Drosophila melanogaster: one gene and its partner. The gene in region 1 interacts genetically with each later gene. Each region holds a gene or a part of one and is shown in the gene's direction. Other genes may lie near its edges. The genes, in order: Hr51 and Rnb.

The links.
Region 2: of Hr51 (region 1) and Rnb, changing one enhances a phenotype caused by changing the other (phenotypic enhancement), as found in Drosophila melanogaster (one study listed by BioGRID).

Annotation. Positions count from the first base shown.
Region 1 is NT_033778.4:15,327,121-15,335,621, forward strand, and holds the start of Hr51 (hormone receptor 51), read left to right. Parts: upstream 1-4,204; 5' UTR 4,205-4,480; coding exon 4,481-4,526; intron 4,527-6,456; coding exon 6,457-6,847; intron 6,848-8,501. Other genes in the region: CG8160 (uncharacterized protein), read right to left, coding at 429-1,055, 1,113-1,124.
Region 2 is NT_033777.3:29,793,603-29,803,156, reverse strand, and holds Rnb (R and B), read left to right. Parts: upstream 1-3,802; 5' UTR 3,803-3,887; coding exon 3,888-4,049; intron 4,050-4,155; coding exon 4,156-4,248; intron 4,249-4,325; coding exon 4,326-4,919; intron 4,920-4,976; coding exon 4,977-5,315; intron 5,316-5,380; coding exon 5,381-5,587; intron 5,588-5,663; coding exon 5,664-6,211; intron 6,212-6,272; coding exon 6,273-6,348; intron 6,349-6,406; coding exon 6,407-7,315; 3' UTR 7,316-7,458; downstream 7,459-9,554. Other genes in the region: Etfb (electron transfer flavoprotein beta subunit), read left to right, coding at 317-367, 498-1,208; Drice (death related ICE-like caspase), read right to left, coding at 2,240-3,259; sro (shroud), read right to left, coding at 7,459-8,350, 8,406-8,521.

The DNA of each region.
Region 1 (8,501 bases):
TATAGACAAAAGTTATATATTTCGATTTGGGAAAAAAGTAGTATAATTTAAGAATTGCTGTTGCTAAAAAAAAGACCGATTTTGAATTTCTAAAATGCATTTCTCGAATAACTTGCAGAGGTTTATAAAATAGATGTGTCATTTCTAAAAACACAATCTTAAGAACTTGACAAATTGAATAAACTATTTAATGTTGCTTTAATCGACTGGTACTGAGATTAGTTCGGGAAATCGAAGATTGATAATTATTGCGGAAGTTCAATAGAAAGTTGTAATGGTGCTTGTATTTTTGGCATATTGATGTCTATGTGTTTTAATTCCTAGTTTAATGTGAGCAATAACTATACCTTAAGAATTAAGTCAACTTTTTCGCAAGATTTAATTTTTTTTTTTTTTTAATTTACTTTGTTATACTTAAAGTTGCCGTTTTAGTAACGTCCATGATGTCCATGATGCTTGTGATGCTCGTGGTTACAGTTCTCGTGACCAATTCCGCCGGAGAATTCTCCCTGTACAAGTTGGGGGCCTGCTCCGAGCTCTCCTGCGGCATATAACTGGCCCGATTGGGGAGCTGGTCTTCGGTAGCCTCCCTGTCCGCCGCCGTATCCCAACTTTCCACTCTGAGGAGTGGCATTGCCATATCCTCCCAAACGTCCTTGGCCCGAGAGTCCAAGTGCGAATTCATTTGGGGGCACGGATGCGCCATATCCTTTCTGTGCACTGCCGTATCCACCCTGAGTGCCGCCGTATCCCACCTGTTCAGTCAATGGAGCGGGTTGGCCATATCCACCCTGAACGCCACCGTATCCTCCTTGCCCGCCACCGTATCCTCCCTGCCCGCCACCGTATCCTCCTTGCCCGCCACCGTATCCTCCCTGCCCGCCACCGTATCCTCCTTGCCCGCTCTGGGAAGCTGATCCGCCGTATCCGCTTGGCGAGCTGCCGTATCCACTTTGTCCGCTCTGTGGAACGGATCTCAAACCCCACTGGGCGGTTGCTGCTCCGTCGTATCCCGGTCTGGCCAAGGTAATGCCCATCAGGGCGAACAGGACAACCTAAAGGGTAAATAAATTGAGGATTATGTAAACTTCACTGACCATTAGCTTAATCACCATTAATTTCATCTTGATATTTTTTTTCGAACTGTAGTCAATGCCAAAGAGTGTCTTCTTTTATACCCAAGCTAGTGGGCATTGCGTTTCGACATTTAGTTACCTGTTATGGACTGTCATTGATTTTAATTCAGTTTATATTGTCATAGTAGATATCGATTGGGGGGTATCTTGCTTTTGAAAGGAAAGGCTTTTTTGATATATTTAAGCAATAACTTTTCCGGATCTCAACATTCCCCTATTCCAGAATCTAAATTGTAGGTACATCCGCTTAAGAAGCACACATTCCTAATCAACTTCGACTACCCTGTGGAAAATCCCAAATTTTGATGGCGCTGAGGTCAATGATTAGTAGAAAAATAAAACAAAATTTTGGACACGGCAGGGAATGCTGCGATTAAGCAAGTGTATTGGCCTTAAAAATAAGTGGTATAATCAACTTGTAAAAAGGGCAAGGGCAATAAAAAATGTATAAATTTCATTGTCGCTAAAAATGTTACTTTATTAATGGCCTCGATTCAACGCTTTAAATTTGTGATAAATTTTTGAATACATTTCAATATATTTTGCTTAGAACCATTTATAGATAAGCTAGAAATAAATTATTTGTGAATTTGTAATCTCAAACAGTTTGTATATATGTGTTTGGTTTGATAGAACAAAATAGAACAAAAACTTGAGATTACATTTTGGCCGATAAGCAGCACATGTTTACTTTCGTGTACACTTTTTATTATTTATTTTATTATATTTATTTCATTTTATGAAACTAACTATGTTACTAAGAATGTTAGATAAACGTTTACGTTTTAAAGATACAATAGTAACTAACAAATACAATTCCTTGTAATCCCGCTTTACCGGAACGTAAATCAAAGATACAAAGTGTCTGAATGTTGAATAAAAGAGGCAGTCCATGAATTTTGATTGATTAAATAAAGTGCACTGCACTTGATAGGGCTTGCCACCCACCGCCCTCTCCAGTGGGTGGCACTCGCAGAGATTTGTCGGTGTGGGTGAGTGTACGAGTATTCGTGTATGTATCCTGGCGATGCGAAATGTCGCCGTTCAAATGTCAAGAACCAACCCCGTCGTCTCTGCTCGTCCTGCTCGCACGATGTCATTGCTCTCGCTCACACCGACGGGCATCCTGCGTGCACGTCTGTTACAGGATAACGTCGCTCTGTCTCTCTGTATTTCTATCTCGCTCTCGTTCGCTCCTCCCTCGACGTGGTGGGCGTGGCCATGCTGGCAAAGCGCTTTGACTTTTGCATTTGTTCACTTTTGTCCCGAGCATAAACTTCTGCCAGCCGCAGCTGCTCTCTAGCTTTCTCCCCCGCGAAGAGAGCGAGATTGCAGAAAGGAGCGGTGAAAGGAGCAAGGGAGGGAGCTGCGGGGAGGGGCTGTGGCTTGCCAGGATCCTGACTGTTGTATTCCGACATCTCATTTGTTACAAAGTTAATGTCGGCGCATTAAGCATGGCAAAAGCCCCACAACAAAATCGGGGAGCACAACGGAGCCCCCATGCCGCCCGTTTTGGTCCTGCGAGCAGCATTTATCGATTATTGGATTAGTGGACCCGGGACCACCTCTAGCTCTGGCTCTCTTATCCATAAAATTATAATGTATAGAGAGTAAATAAAAATGTGTATGCATAAATAAGACTACGTAGACCATTAGATAGAACATCTTTACACATTACATTAAGTTTGACATTATAAATATTTTAAGGTTATACTTTTTAAAATATAAAAACCCACTTCTGAGCATATATATTCTGTCTTCAGCATATTTTCTCGAACAGTTCACAAACTTGAATGACTGGTTCTATGAGGCTTCTTAAAATTCGTTAAAACTTAATTTAATACAAGCCTTGGTTCTTACTTTAATTTCTTGTACAAATAATAATCTAAATATCTATATCTAAATATATAAATATATAATTGTTGCAATAAAATCAGGAAGGTAAATGAAACATGATTGTGATATTAAAGTTAAATAAAATCACCCATCAAATTAGAAAAATATTTAAAAACAAACAAATTATAATATTAGGATAATATATGTATATTATAATATATATATAATTTAAAACTCTTTTGGTTATATGTGCACTTAAATATTCTTGATTTAGATCCAAGTACACCCACAGACACCAGCAGAAACATTTTCTTCTTCAATTCAATTACAGTTTACTGGGTGGCGGCAATTTCTGGGTGGAAGTTGGGGCTTTTAGGGGGCGGTTAGAATACGAGGCCAAGAGTGACGTCGTTGGCAGAGGGTCAAGAGGGGGGCCAAACTGTTAGCGAAAGGATCGAGGGGCAGGACGACGCAAGCTCGAAAGCGCCGACATCACAAAGGGTATTATAAAACAAAAACAAAATGTCAAAACCCAAGACGATTATACGAGCGCCAGCCGCGCAGCTGCGTCATTCGTTTCATGGTTGTATTGGTGGGGCGCCACCATTGCTCTGCTCCACTTCCGCTCTCCCGCCCACTTCCGTTTCCGCTCCCCGCCGTCGCTCAGCTTTTTTGAGTCATGATGGCGACCGGGCGTTCTCTGCTCTTTCGAGTGCCTTGGTATGTGTGCTTGTGTGTGTGCGCAGAGAGCGCAGAGCCGGGTGTTTATTGGAGATTGCGATTGCGGCTTGGCTTACCCACACTCGCAGGGCCGCACACCAACACACTAACACTAACAGCGAGGACAAGCTCCTGCCGCAGCATCAAGAAGGAACGAATCAAAGCAAGCCAACAAGCAAATGCGCCACCAGAGTTGCCACTAAAAGTCTCCGTTGGTGGGTGGGTGGTGTGCGGTTATCCTTCGCTCGCTGCTCCTTGCTCGCTGCTCGATGCTCTCTGCTCTTCCTGCTCCTATGTGTGTGTGTGTGCAGTGTATGCCGTGCTTTTTGTCCTCACACACACACGCGCGCGGCAAGGACTTCTCTGCCCACTCAGCGACCGCGGATTATATCCTGCGATATGGTTTTTTCCCCCTAGTCCGGGGTTGGCCCGTTGGCTGGTTGGCCGACTGCTGGAGTGGACACATCAGTGTTTAGCTCCTGTCACGCTTTTATGATAAATCTGAAATCCGGAATCTGAAATCGTACATCGAGACGTTAACATCATCATCGCGGCACACTCGCAGCGCCGTCGGATCGGATTGGTTCGGTTTCATCAGCGGGAATCAGAGGACCGTCCACTTGCCGTCGCCTCTCCACGATTGCAAATTAATATGGAGCCTACTGCGATGAACCCGAAAAGTGCCATTTAAAAGTGGTGTTTTAGAAATTCTTACAAATAGTGTCAATTGTTAATAAACTTTTCAACGAGGTGTGATCTTTAATCGCAGTCCGCCAAAGCTCAACAAAATGAATAAGGAAGAAAATTCCTCCGAAACACGACCATCTTCTCAAGGTAAATTAGTGTGTTAATAAAAACATGAGTATGGTGATGAAATATATTTATTAAGCTGTAAACACAAAGGTGTGGTTTCCTTACTTAAATACATAAAAAAATAAATATACAAGATGGCCCTAATGGTGGCTAAAAATTCCTTTACCAACAAATTTTAAAAAGGACAATATCACGTTTGTTGGGAAATTGTGCGTGAAATATAATTACGTTTCTTACACCCACGATTAATTAGGACGGATAAGATAGGAAAATAAAAAAAGTGATATGTTAAAGAAAAAAACGGAAAGGATGTGAAAGCAAAGATTACAAAAAACGACTGGCATCGTAATATAAATTAAATTTAAGCTTTTTCATTCTAATTACCCGACGGAAAAAATTGTTTCAAATGTGAGTTGTAATTAGTGCCGAAATAATAATGTTATATCGAAAACTAACACACATTTTAAGGATTGAGTTCCTAGCAAAAAAAAAACTTTAACAATTCATTTTATGATATTCAGATATGACTCCTTTTTTAAGCGAATTCTTATACGTCAATTATAAGTTTAGCGATTTGAATAGAAAATCTATTTTATAGCTGTGTGACCAATTTAAATATAATGTTAAGAAGTATAACTTTTTATATGTTGAAATGACTGGATCAATTGTAAAATGCCCAGACTAAAACATGAAAAGAAACAAGCGGATTCTGATCGCTCTGCTCGGAAATCACATTGGCAATTTTAATTACCAATTTGCAGGAACCAGTTGTCTGCGGAGACACTCAAATCAAATCGATGCCCAACTTGCTGATGGCATGCACGAATGGCCAGGCAAATTCAATTTGCGATAATCACCAAATTGAATTAGACTCCGAGTCAGGCCGCCAAAAATGTCAGAAATTCATAACACAGCCATCCCGGCGCCCTTAACACTTTTGTGTGCGCCAAAGTGAATTTCAACGAGCCCATAAAATTAACAAAGATGCCCCGGTGCCCCGGAAAATGCAAGCATATGACGCTAATCCTCCGGCTTTGGACCGCAGTCCTGCCAGTTGGTCCCGGCTGAATGGCCGCCTGACTTTGTCTTTCCATTCCAATGCCAAGCAGGAGCAAAACCCAAACCCAAACGCAAACCAGAACCACGAACCCAAATGGTCGAGCGCACAGCCAAGTGGCGAGTGTTACAAATGTGTCCTCAGCCTCGTCCTTGGAACGTCGAGGGTTAAGTGCATCAAAAAATCAGTAAGGAAACTACAATCAAATTAGGGTGTGATGGCAAAACAATCGTCCCCCGAGGCAAATTTGGCGCACAGATTGCTCGGCACGCTCTGGTCGAGAGCCGTTTGGCTTAATGGCACCCTAATTGAATGTGTAAATATATTTGCGGATTACAGGGCGTCAATGTCGCCACGCAGGGATAAGATCGGCAGGTCCTTTGCATCCGCAATCCGGTACAACTGACAAATTGGGATTTAATTTATATGAACTGCATAAGTGATTTTTTATTGCACCACCCATTACCACCGGGAAAACTGGTCTTAAGTCTGGTCGAAAATTTTAAATGTCTTATGCTGGAACGAGATTAATCATTTAATATGCCGATGAAAAGAATAGCTAAAGGACAATCATTACGCGTTAAGTTTAAAAATGTTAAGCTACAGTGCGGAAATTGTATAGAATTATACATTACATTTCTACATTCTGCTAGTATTAGCTAAACATTATGTATACTATTTTTCCCGTTTTATAAACAATTTTGAATATTTATTAATATTTAAACGCCAACTAAGCTTTAACCACTTGCACAATTCGTTGATTTTAAGATCTATATACGAGCTAATAAACCCAACTGTATGATCTTAATAAAGCCGTAGTAACTTCCCAGATAACAAAAAGATACAATTTCGATTCTCTTAGATACCATTCACTAATCTGCTTCATAACTTTAGAACTCCACAGTCCGCAGCGGCATTGCTACACTCCGCCGCCGGCGCCGATGCACGGACAGGCGCCTCCACCTACATCAACGGGCGTGGCCCCGCCCACACAGCCACCGCCCCCTCATCCCGCCGCCCCAAACGTGCCCAATGGTCGATTGCTGAGCTGGAATCACAGTGCCGCTGCAGCTGCTGCGGCGGCGGCAGCCCAAGCGGCAGCCAACTCCATGAACCACTCGTCGGCGGCGGAGGGTTCATCGATGACCCGGATTAAGGGTCAGAACCTGGGCCTCATCTGCGTGGTGTGCGGCGACACCAGCTCGGGAAAGCACTACGGAATCCTAGCCTGCAATGGCTGCTCCGGATTCTTCAAACGCAGCGTGCGGCGGAAACTCATTTATCGGTGAGTGCACACAGAAAGATATTTTGCGGACCTCAAATTAGAAATAAAAACTATAAATAACAAAAAGGACTTCCTTAACACGTCATATAGAGAGTAAAGTAATTATGCCATATAGGCATAAAGAGTAATTTAAACCATTAATACATATATTGATACTCCCCTGCAAACACTCCCATTTTGTGAATTTTAAATGTGTGGTGCCAGTTTTATTTCAGTGTAGCCCTAACTATGCTCCCAAATCCAGTCATTACCATTTCATTTCCATTAAATGTTGCAACATTTGCCCAAAAGTGGGTGGTGCCGGGATGGGTGTGGGCCGCTGTGCCCGGAGGCTCGTCTGGCGGATTACGGAGCTCCGGCAAATTCATTACAATTATTCAAATCTTTGGGATTTGAGCGTCAACTTTTGAATGCGCATATTTGCCCTCGCGTTGACTTTGTGCCCAGAATGGCATCATGTGCGAATGCCACTTTACTTTCGCTCCCCTCTCTCTGGATTGCAGCTTAAAATGTAATTGAATTTAAAGTGAATTCGTTTAAAACTTTTTCTTTTGACGTGGGAATTTTCCAAAATCTGACAAAAAAAAAAAAAAAGAAGAGAAGAGAAGCAAAAGCGCGAATCAAAGTTTGTCGAGCGTTTTCAATTATCATTAAATCAGAGAGAAAAATCCCATAATCCAAAACGACGGAATCAATGCCAGCAAAAACATAAAGTTATGATACAGTAATGCATGCTTTGCTCTGCGGCTTTCCAGCGGGCTCGGTAAATCACAAATGTCGAAATCTCTATATCCGTGTCCTGGTCCCATGAGATTGATATGGAGGGCTTAAGCGCAAAACACTTGGCCAAATGTGGCCCAGCACCCGCATCCATCCGCCCTCCCGACATCTTCGTCCATCGACTAAGCCGAATCGCAACAAAGTCAAAAAATGGGGGCGGTTCTGTGCGGCTCTACGGGATGAAATAGAGCAACATTCTCCCCCTGCACGGGAATGAGTGAACGAGGGATACACTCCAGACATGGAAAAGGGATAACAGGTCTAGTGTATATTTTCACCGACGTGACTTGTTTCCCGATGGGCGACAGAGTCAATCTGGCCCTTGGTCCTTTTTATATCCTTGTCTCCGGTGGCCCCATTAAGCCGTTTTCAATTATAATCAATTGCTTCCAATCAGAACTTTCGAATGTGGTCAAAGGAATTTTCCAAGGACATGCTAGAAATATATTCGATTTGTTATGGTTGTAGGAATAGCCTACGGAATTTATGGATTTTATTCATTTGTTGTTCATTGGCTAAGAAAAAATGCCCTTATATTTTTCATTTACTTTAAAAATGTATTTTATGTGACAATTTAACTTAAAAGTATATCATTTGTAGAGAATATGAAAGCCAAAGTCTGTCCTTTATTTTCCAGTTTTAGTATACACAAATGCGTTCATGGTCTATTCCTGGATGTTTGATGGTTGGGGCAATGGCAATATTATGTGATTATTTTTATAGAGACACAAAACTTGGAATGCCAAAGGAATGAGCTGCCCATTCACACATATCCAATCTACTTGATTTGTTTACGAAAATTTAACATTTGCATACACAAAATACCTCAATTTTATATACACACGTAGACAAGGGCTGTATCTCAAGGATACAT
Region 2 (9,554 bases), on another chromosome or scaffold:
ACTCCCCCGTAAATAGTTGAATTCGTAATTCATCAACTCCACAGTTTCAGAAATTATGTTTCCTAGTTTTGCTTAAAGTTGTTAGTCCTTTAAGATACATGAATTTAAAAATGTATTTCAGCGGGAATATTTGGACATTTTATAGCTGCAAATAATCGGCTGCTCTGTCTGGCAACGCTGTAGCCGGAGAAGACCTTTGGACCACCCGCGCCCCCGCCGCCAACAAATCAGTTCATTTCCATCTTGAAGAGGTAAGTTCTTGAAACTCAGTAAATTTCCGTAAATTTCATCAATTTTATAACTAATTTGGCAGAAAATGGCGCGTGTTTTGGTTGGAGTTAAGCGTGTGATCGACTACGCCGTCAAGGTGAGCCTGAAAAGTCGCCTGTTGCGCATCTTGTCCCATTGTCTTTTTATCACTTGTTGCGCTCTGTTTTGCGTAATCGCCTTAATTAAGCGGCAATTAAACTAATTCAGGTTACATTTATCATGTCCAGGTGCGCGTCAAGCCCGACAAGACTGGCGTGGTCACCCAGGGCGTGAAGCACTCGATGAATCCCTTCGACGAGATCGCCGTGGAGGAGGCGGTGAAGCTGAAGGAGAAAAAGCTGGCCGAGGAGGTGATCGCCGTCTCCGTGGGCCCGGCCCAGTCGCAGGAGGTGATCCGCACCGCCCTGGCCATGGGCGCCGATCGCGGCGTCCACGTAGAGATCCCGGCCGCCGAGTACGAGCTTCTGCAGCCCATCCACGTGTCGAAGATTCTGGCCAAGTTGGCTCTTGACGAAAAAGCCGACCTGGTCATCCTTGGCAAGCAGGCCATCGACGATGATGCCAACCAAACGGCCCAGATGACCGCCGCCGTGCTCGACTGGCCGCAGGGCACCTTCTGCAACAAGATCGAGAAGACAGACGCCGGTCTGACCATCACGCGTGAAATTGATGGTGGCCTGGAGACAATCAAGACCAAGACCCCGGCTGTGCTGAGCGCCGATCTCCGGCTGAACACCCCTCGCTACGCCACGTTGCCGAACATCATGAAGGCCAAGAAGAAGCCGCTGAAGAAGGTTACGGCCAAGGATCTCGGCGTGGACACCTCGCCCCGCATCGAGGTCATCTCCGTGGAGGATCCTCCTGTGCGCCAGGCCGGCGCCACCGTCGCCGACGTGGATGCCCTGGTGGCCAAGCTAAAGGAGGGCGGCCACATCTAGATGTTCCTCAACTAGAAAATTGTGAGCGCATATTCTACGTTTTTAATTAGTCGAAAGTTATCAGAAACGTGCATTTATCTAGCCGGAGAGTCGGATTTGCTGACAGGCTTTAAATTTCTCTGAATTCAACCCATACCCGTGTGCTTTAAGTGAACTATAAATTGGAATTTATTCTCGTTGTGTCCAGCTCTAAGAATAAAGTGATTGTAAGCTCTGAAATCGTACGATCAGGGTCAGCCAATGGCTGGACTCGTCTATTTTTCCGTCTCCGCGTGCTACCTTTTCGGGAAATGCCGCTCAACTTGGCGCCCAAAAGAGGCGACAGGGTCAACAGCAAACAGCCAATGGTCATTGATTTCTCATTGTTTTCAATCGGATTTATTAGCGGTTAACTTGAAAGGAGAACATTTGCTAATGTGCATTATATAAGAGTACAAATGGCATAGAAATAGTATATATTGTTCATAAAACACTCGACTACAGGCTAAAATCGTTTGTTTTCGTTTTGGACGACCATGACACACAGGCTTATACTATAAAGATATCTATGTGTATAAAATTGTAAAAAGGTCTTGTCTGTAAATGGTCTAAGGTAGATATAGATAAGGGTGGGCCGACATTCCTGATCGAGAATCAAAGAGGCGCAAGTTGTTCTATGATAAGGTTTAGTAGAGAATTTAAAATTTTGAGATCGTCTTTGTTCAGTTGGCAAGTTAAAATTGTCAAAAAATTTTGGCCGGAGTAAAAACCTCTTAGATTTCTAAGTTAAATCGATCTACTCTACCCACCCCAAAAAATATAAATACAGACGAGTAAATGCGACATTAATAAATGTCAATCGAAAGATACTTTGTGCCTAAATAAAATAAAACGGGCAGTGGCACCAATCTCGTCGAGCAATTGGGCAGGTTAAAAAAGTGTTGTATAAAAAATATGCTGCAAGGCCGATAGCCCATGAGGTTCTAACTTAATTGCGACTTGGTTTATCACACACCTCGCCGTACCCACCGTTTGATCCATACCATTAGCCATCAAACCCGTCCGGCTGGTGCCAACTGCTTGTCGCTGAAACGCAGAATGCGCGTCAGCATGGTGGTTATGCAGGGTATCTGCTTCTGCTGGTGCATCTCCGGAGTGTCCGGGGTGCAGGACTCAAAGTCCACGGCCACCCGCTGGCACACGAATGTGAGCAGGGTCAGGATGTCCAGCCGCTTGCCATTGGCCGCCAGTTCGGCGCACAGGCTCTGCATGAACCAGCTGCCGCGGGTGGTGTTGCGCCACGAATAGAATCCAGGAACCGTCGAGTAGGCGATCAGAAAGTCGGCGTGCACTGGAATCTTGTAGCTCATCGAGGAGTCGCCATCGGTTTCCGTCTGAGAACGCTGCATGGTCACTCCGCCATCCAATCTGTCGCCCTGGCAGGCCTGTATGAAGAACAACTTGGGTTTGCCGGCTAGCGAGGGGCAGTGATTGGCCGTGAAGAAGCTCCAGATGTTATCCAGCTTGTACTGTGTGTCCTTGGCGTAGATGTAGCCCATCTCGCCGTGCGACAGGATGGCGACCAGGATGCAATCACTATCGCTGTGATTCTGCGACGCTGCATACTCGATTGTCCTCAAAATGTCCTTGTAGCGGCAGTCCTTGTACACGGTCACTTCGAAGTCCAGCTGCTTGAGCACCCGAGTCAGATTCTCGCAGTCCACATTGGTTCCCGCGCGAGACTTCAAGGTGGGCACCTCGAAGTGCTCATGGTTGAAGATCAGTGCCATTCCGCGGTTCTTGTGGCGCATGTTGTACTCGGCTGCATGGCGGTCGGTGACCATTTTGGCTACATTCTTACGGTAGCTGGACGAGGGTGAGCTGTACCCGTTGGCCAGCTGCCCAATGGCTCCGCTGCCGTAAGGATGCGAGGATCCTGCGACCAGGCCGCTGCTACCCGCTCCTCCGGATCCCACGGAGCCCAGGGCATCTGTGTGATCGTTGGGCTGCTCCGGATTGCCCACCCTGATGCCCACCTGGTCGGCGGATTCTCCATTGTTAGTGGCGTCCATGGCTAAGTTCTCTCCTTGAGCCTGCGAAAACTGATGAGTCACAAGCACTGCGAAACAGGTTTTTCCAAATCTGTGAAAAGCTTGGATGCACGACTTGGGCAAATTAGCTTCGTTCTGGGGAAAGTCCGTGTTTACGCGCAACAAAGACAGCTAGTTATTAACTAATTACTTTAGTCGATTGCGTTTTTGTCTTTAATTCTGTAAGACCGTTGTTGGCAGTTGAAAAACACCAAATAGCGCCTGATTTGGTGATGACACTTCAGCCCTCGTGTCACGATTACGGTAAACAAAGAAAGTAAATAAATATAGGAAAAATTATTAAATGGGTTTTAAAAAATATTAAAATAATTTGAAATTAAAAGCTTGGAGGTAATTTTGTGGGAACTTGTATAATCTACATAAAAAACAGGCCTGCTTCCATTTATTATTGTAGAATCGAATTCGCATCCAAAGCTAAAACGTAAACATCAGTTTATAAATAAGGCAGACCGCTGCTGGATTTTCGAAAAATAACGTAAAATACCGTAAAATACGCTCTTATGCACGGTCACACTCTCAAAGAGGTTTGAGACGCACTGTAGAATTTGTTGAATTGTTTCAATTTGTTTAAAAATTAAGAAAATTACCAATGTTCTGGACACCAGAGCAAGTGGAGAGCATGCTGGAAGTGCTAAAGACCTCCACGGATCGAACAGTCATTTACAAATGCCTGGTGAAGCTGCGCACCGATCTGGTGAAGGATAAAAATGGCATTGTTTTATTTCGCACTGCTGGGGGCGTTCACATCATGGTGGGTTTGGGAGTCACAACGCTCATGGTGGTTTGACAGCCACTGCCGCTCACATAGGATCGTTATTCGAATCGATTTTTAAATCATTATTAATTGCGTCTTCCAGGTGCGACTGATCACCAAGCTGAATGAAAAGATAATGGAGGTGGTACTGAGCATACTGGGGAACTGCTGCACCGACGAACAGTCCTGCATTGAGGTGGGATTATCAGATTACATTTTTATCTTTATTTTGAACCACAACGGTTAAAAAAATTTAAAACTTTCCACTTTAAGGCTGTTGAATGCAAGGTGATTCACCCGCTGGTGACCATTCTGAAGACCATACCTAATCCCCTGATCCAGTGCCGCGCCTGCCGGATGCTTGGAAACATCGCCAAGAGCAAGAAGGCGTCCCAGTGTCTCACAGTGCACTATGCGGCCATTGCACCGGCCATCTGCCACATCATTGAGTCCACCAGTGCGGTGCAGACCCGCATCATGGCATTCCGCGTCTGCCGTTTCCTTCTGGCCAGCAGCCAGTTCCTGAAGTACTTCCTCATGGCCAATGGGTTCCAGCAGCTGATGCGAATTTTTCTGGCCGTGATGAAGAACGAAGAGGCATCCAAGGAGCCCGTTCCGGACATCGAGATGTCCACGCTGATTGGCCTGAAGAGGAACCAGCACCGTGAGAAGTATTTCGAGGAGGTAGCCCGGAATTTGGAGGGTGTTCGCAGTGACATCTTTGACCACCAGATGCTCAAGAATTCCACAAGGAACTGTGACTATGCGCTGCCCAAGGAAAATGAAGCGGCCGTTGAGCTGGCCCTCGAGATTCTGAAGTGTCTGGTCCTGATATCCGCGCAGCAAATTGGACTGAAAGTTTGGGAGGTGAGACTGTTTTCTAAGTTCTCCAAAACGTAGTACATAATAAACATTTCTTGTTAGTCCATTTCCTGGAATACCTCGCTCGCCTCCATTGTGTGCTTCGTAAAGGAGGACGGCGACCAACGGGCCTCTGCCCTTAAAATCCTCTCTAACTTCTGCAAGGATCCCTTCGCCTTCTACATGCTGAGCACTGCGGATGCCATTGTGGCTGCCTGCGAGATGCTCATGGCTGTGAACATGGCAAAGCCACTTAGCGAAAGCGAGAGCCGGCACTGCATCAACATAATCTTGACGCTATCCACCGATGCCTGCAGCCGCTCGAAGATCCGGAGATGTGGGGCACTGCGCAAGCTGGTGGCCATGATCCGGGACTCCAACTCGCAGAGCGAGCGATCATCGGTGAGATGGAAACCAAATCCCTCTTGACATCTGCTATATATAATGGCTTTCTTCATACCCAACAGCTATTTCACATACTTTACAACTTCCAATATGATAACTTAAGCATGGAACTCATGCTGTATGAAGGACTAATGCCCATGTTGGTGCGGGAACTAAACGATTACCTGACCAGCGATGATGAGCATCACAAACGTCGACGAGACGAGAGACTGCAAGGTGGTAAAAAAAGAAAACTGACGGATCCCACAACGCCAGAGACGCTGAGCAAGGTATTTATTTAGCAGCATAGCAGCTAGCATATGTTTACAAGCCACTTGCTAATTATACCCACTTTTTGCACACAAGTTCTCAAAAACCCACGAGACCTTAGGATCGGACTTTGAATCGCCGAGCAGTTCACCTAGGTCTTATCGCACAACCAGTCCCTGCAGTTCGCGCAGCATGTCACCGGTGTGCACAGATCTGCTGACGAATGATGACGACGACAACTATTCTCCGGCGTGCAGTGATGACGACGAAGATGAGGATGACAGCACAAATAATAGCAATTTGGACACAAGAGAGCGGCGCATAGCCGCCAATCGTTCGCAGCCTTCGAATGTTCTGGATATACTGAAACTAATTGAGGAGGGCAGCGAACCCATAGATGATCCGCTGTCCGACAAAGAGGATCTCGAGGAACTGAGCTCGGATGTACCACCGAAACTAGCCCCGTTCCGCAATACAACATGCAACACCATTGACATAATAGAAAACCTTATCTATCGCATCACGCTGATGGTGAACAAGCGAGTGGAGCTGGGAAAGCCAGAGACGCTCGACACTCTGATTAGAGCCATCAAATTGTTTGGATCGAACAATAATTTCCCAAATGCCCTGACAAATATTCTACTGTAAGTTGTCAAGCTGAACTAAGGATAAGCATGTATTCTAATTGCACGTATATCCTTTCAGTGAGAGCCAGTTCTTTGCCCAGATAATAAAGCATGGCGTGGTCCATCAACTGTACCAGTTTACCAAGCTGAAGGAGGTAAAGTGAGCCCATTCATCTAATGTTCATCACAGTTAACACCGCACGTATATTTCAGATTCGCAAAGACGGCTTCGCCTTCTTGGAGACGTTAACCAATGTGGGAGAATCGAATTATGGCAAGGAGGAGCTAGTGCGTCTCCTGCGCTGCGACGATGTGATATCCCAACAGAGAGCCGCCATTTCGGTGGCCTACATAGTTAAAAGCCATCGATTGCTCTATCAGTTCCTGTACGACGGCAATGCGCTGAATATGCTATTCGACATGATGCTGCGCAAGAAGACCGAGGACCACTACGCAGATGAGGCGGCGGATGCGGTGACATCGATGGCGCGATATACCCTGGGCATCGTTATGCCAGAAGCCGAACCAGCGGAGAGTACAGCAGGAATCTGCAACCAAATTGCAAATGATACCGCACCGCTGCACGCCAACTGCGACATGCGATTCCTCGTTGGTCATGGAGCGGATTCCACCTCCATTGGGTTTAATAAGCAGCTGCTCTGCGACACCAGCGAAGTGTTCAACAAGATGCTCAACAGTGATTTCCGCGAGGGTCACCAAGGCGAGATTCAGCTGCCAGATTACACTGCCAGTGGACTGCGCTACTTTCTGCATTTAATCGTGTGCCAGGAGCGGCATCTAACCGAGCCGGATTACCCCGCCCTGCTGCAGGCCTACGAGATGGCCCGCGTGTACATCATGCCCGATATGGAGGCGGTATTGCAGCAAAGACTCATCCAGTACCTGGACTCACACAACTGCCTGCGCCTGCTCGAGTGGGCGCTGAAGAACTACCATGCCGACCTGACGGAAACTGCCATCAGCTTTTATCTCTGCTCCGCGCTGCCCGCGCAGGAAAAGCTTCAGCTGTTCCGGGCAGCGGAGGACTCCACCTATGCCAGCGAGTGGTTCCAGCTGCTCAACGATGCGGTGTTCGAGCGCTGTCGCGGCTATGTCTTCTAGACACCACCACCCAGTTGCGTTCTGTGATCACATTTTGGCGTTTTCCATTCCCTGGATTCAGCTCGTTTTATTTGCCACAGCCCTTAGCCAAGTATTCCAATGTGCTACAATGTATATTTAAAATGTATAGACTACGGATTAATCTAAATCTTCTCCTGCCTGTTCGTTGACTCGTAGGTGGGCATCGCGCAGAAACGCACCGTGAGCCAATCCACTAGCGGAGTGGGGCAGAGCGTAAAGAGCCAGCGATAGAGGCGATATCTACGGGGTTCCTCGATGTACAGAGCCAAGGGTTGTGAGCTGGTCAATGCATCCTTAAACTTTGCCAGCAGCGACTCGTTCCTCAGGCGATTGGGCGGCTTGAAGCCGCTCAGTACTTTCAGATAACCATTGAAGGCCTCGAAGTAAGTGTCGTACAGAGCGTGTTGCTCCGCACTGAAGGCTTCGCGCATCTTCTGAGCATGCTGCTGCTGTCTGGCCGCAATGTTGCTGTCCAGGACGAAGGAGCCTGGTATGAAGTTGACCACCTCCATGCCATACTGCTGCAGCTCCACGCGGAGTGAATCCGTCCAGAAGCGAAGGGCTGCCTTGGAGGCGGCATAAGGACCCAGTGCCGGCAGAGCCTGCAATCCGCAGTGGCTGGTCACATTGATGATCCTGCCCTGCTGCTGCCGGAGCAGGGGCAGCAGTTCATGTGTCAGCCTCATGGTGCCCAGCAGGTTGCAGTTGATCTGCGCCTCGATCTGCTCCGTTAGCTGCCACTCGAATTCCCCGAAGCACATTACTCCAGCATTGTTTATCAGTGCCGTCAGCCGATAGCTGGGGTCTTTGGCCAGTATGTCCCTTAGCTGGCGATGCACCAGGCGAATGGAATCGGGTTCCAATAGATCCAGTTCCAAGGTGTGCATTCTGCTCAGTCCATCCTTGGCCGAGGCTAGGCCCTGCAGCAGTTTAGCTCCTTCCGACTTGATGTTGTGGCAGCAGGAAATCACGGTCATGTGCAGCGATTCGTGGCAGTAAACTGCCATGGAGTGGCTATCGAGATCATTGCGTTATTAGGCTCCACTTGCTCCCGCTTCGCTTAGCTTACCCCAATCCCGAATCGCAGCCCGTGATGAGCACCACATGCCGGCTATCGACCTTCAGCTGCTGCCTGCCCAATCCCAGGGATCGTCGCAGGGCGCGAAGAAGTTGACTGCCGCTCATATCGCCGCTTCTCGAGTAACTGAAACAGAGATCCGCGATTCGTGGCTGCACCGAAAGCAACAGATCCCAAAAAAAACAAAAAAAAATGCAAAATAAGGCAAACCCGAAAATGAATATATGCAGCGTGTGTTGTATGTACATATATACTCGTTTGTGCCATTATCAGACGAGTGGAAGAACACGGCTGCGTTTACCTGCCCTTCAGACTGGTCTTTATGGCAGCAACTAGGTGTTTCTATCTCATAATGTTTTCATAACTTGAATGATCGCATTTTCACATTAGAGCCATTTTCTCAATGAGGTTTACTTCCATAAGTAAGTACTTCAAATCGCTTGAAGAAGTCTGCAGAAATTGAGAATGCAGCCTTTGTTGGTCCACCCTAATCTACCTGATATGTTTACCTGACGACGAGCCAGCCCATTTGCAAGTCATGTGAATCGCTATAACTTCAGAAATAATTCCACAAATCGTCTTTAGGTTTTGTCGGTCTTTTTATTTCTATTTTATTCCATTTCATTTTTAAATTTTGGTGTTTTTCTGCCCTTATAAGTGCATTTATTTGCTATCAATCGGTTTGGTTTTGTATAGATTAAAATTTTGAATATTCTGAGAATTTAGTGTGGAAACTGGCGAGAGTTGCTTTACCTGATCAGCTTTTGTTGAATCGTTTTGGGTTTTTTGATTTAAGGTTGTGGGTAGGTAGATATAGGTATACATAATACATAATTACATATTAAATAATTGCTTTGCTTTTGTCATTTCTTATAAATGGTATTTGAAAATAGCGCAATGTTGCGTTTAGTAAAAATATATTTTGGTTTCTACTGCAGCTTACAGAGTACACAATAAGTATATTTATCTCATTTCACATTTGCTTTTGCTCAATATAAAACTCGCTTCAACGCCATTATTGTTTAGCTTTAAATGTACATGCATACATATATGTATGTAGATCTCTATATATAAAGGTTTGCATTTCTTAATTCTCTCTCAAGGCATTGTATTTAGTTTGTATGCTGAATATATATTCAC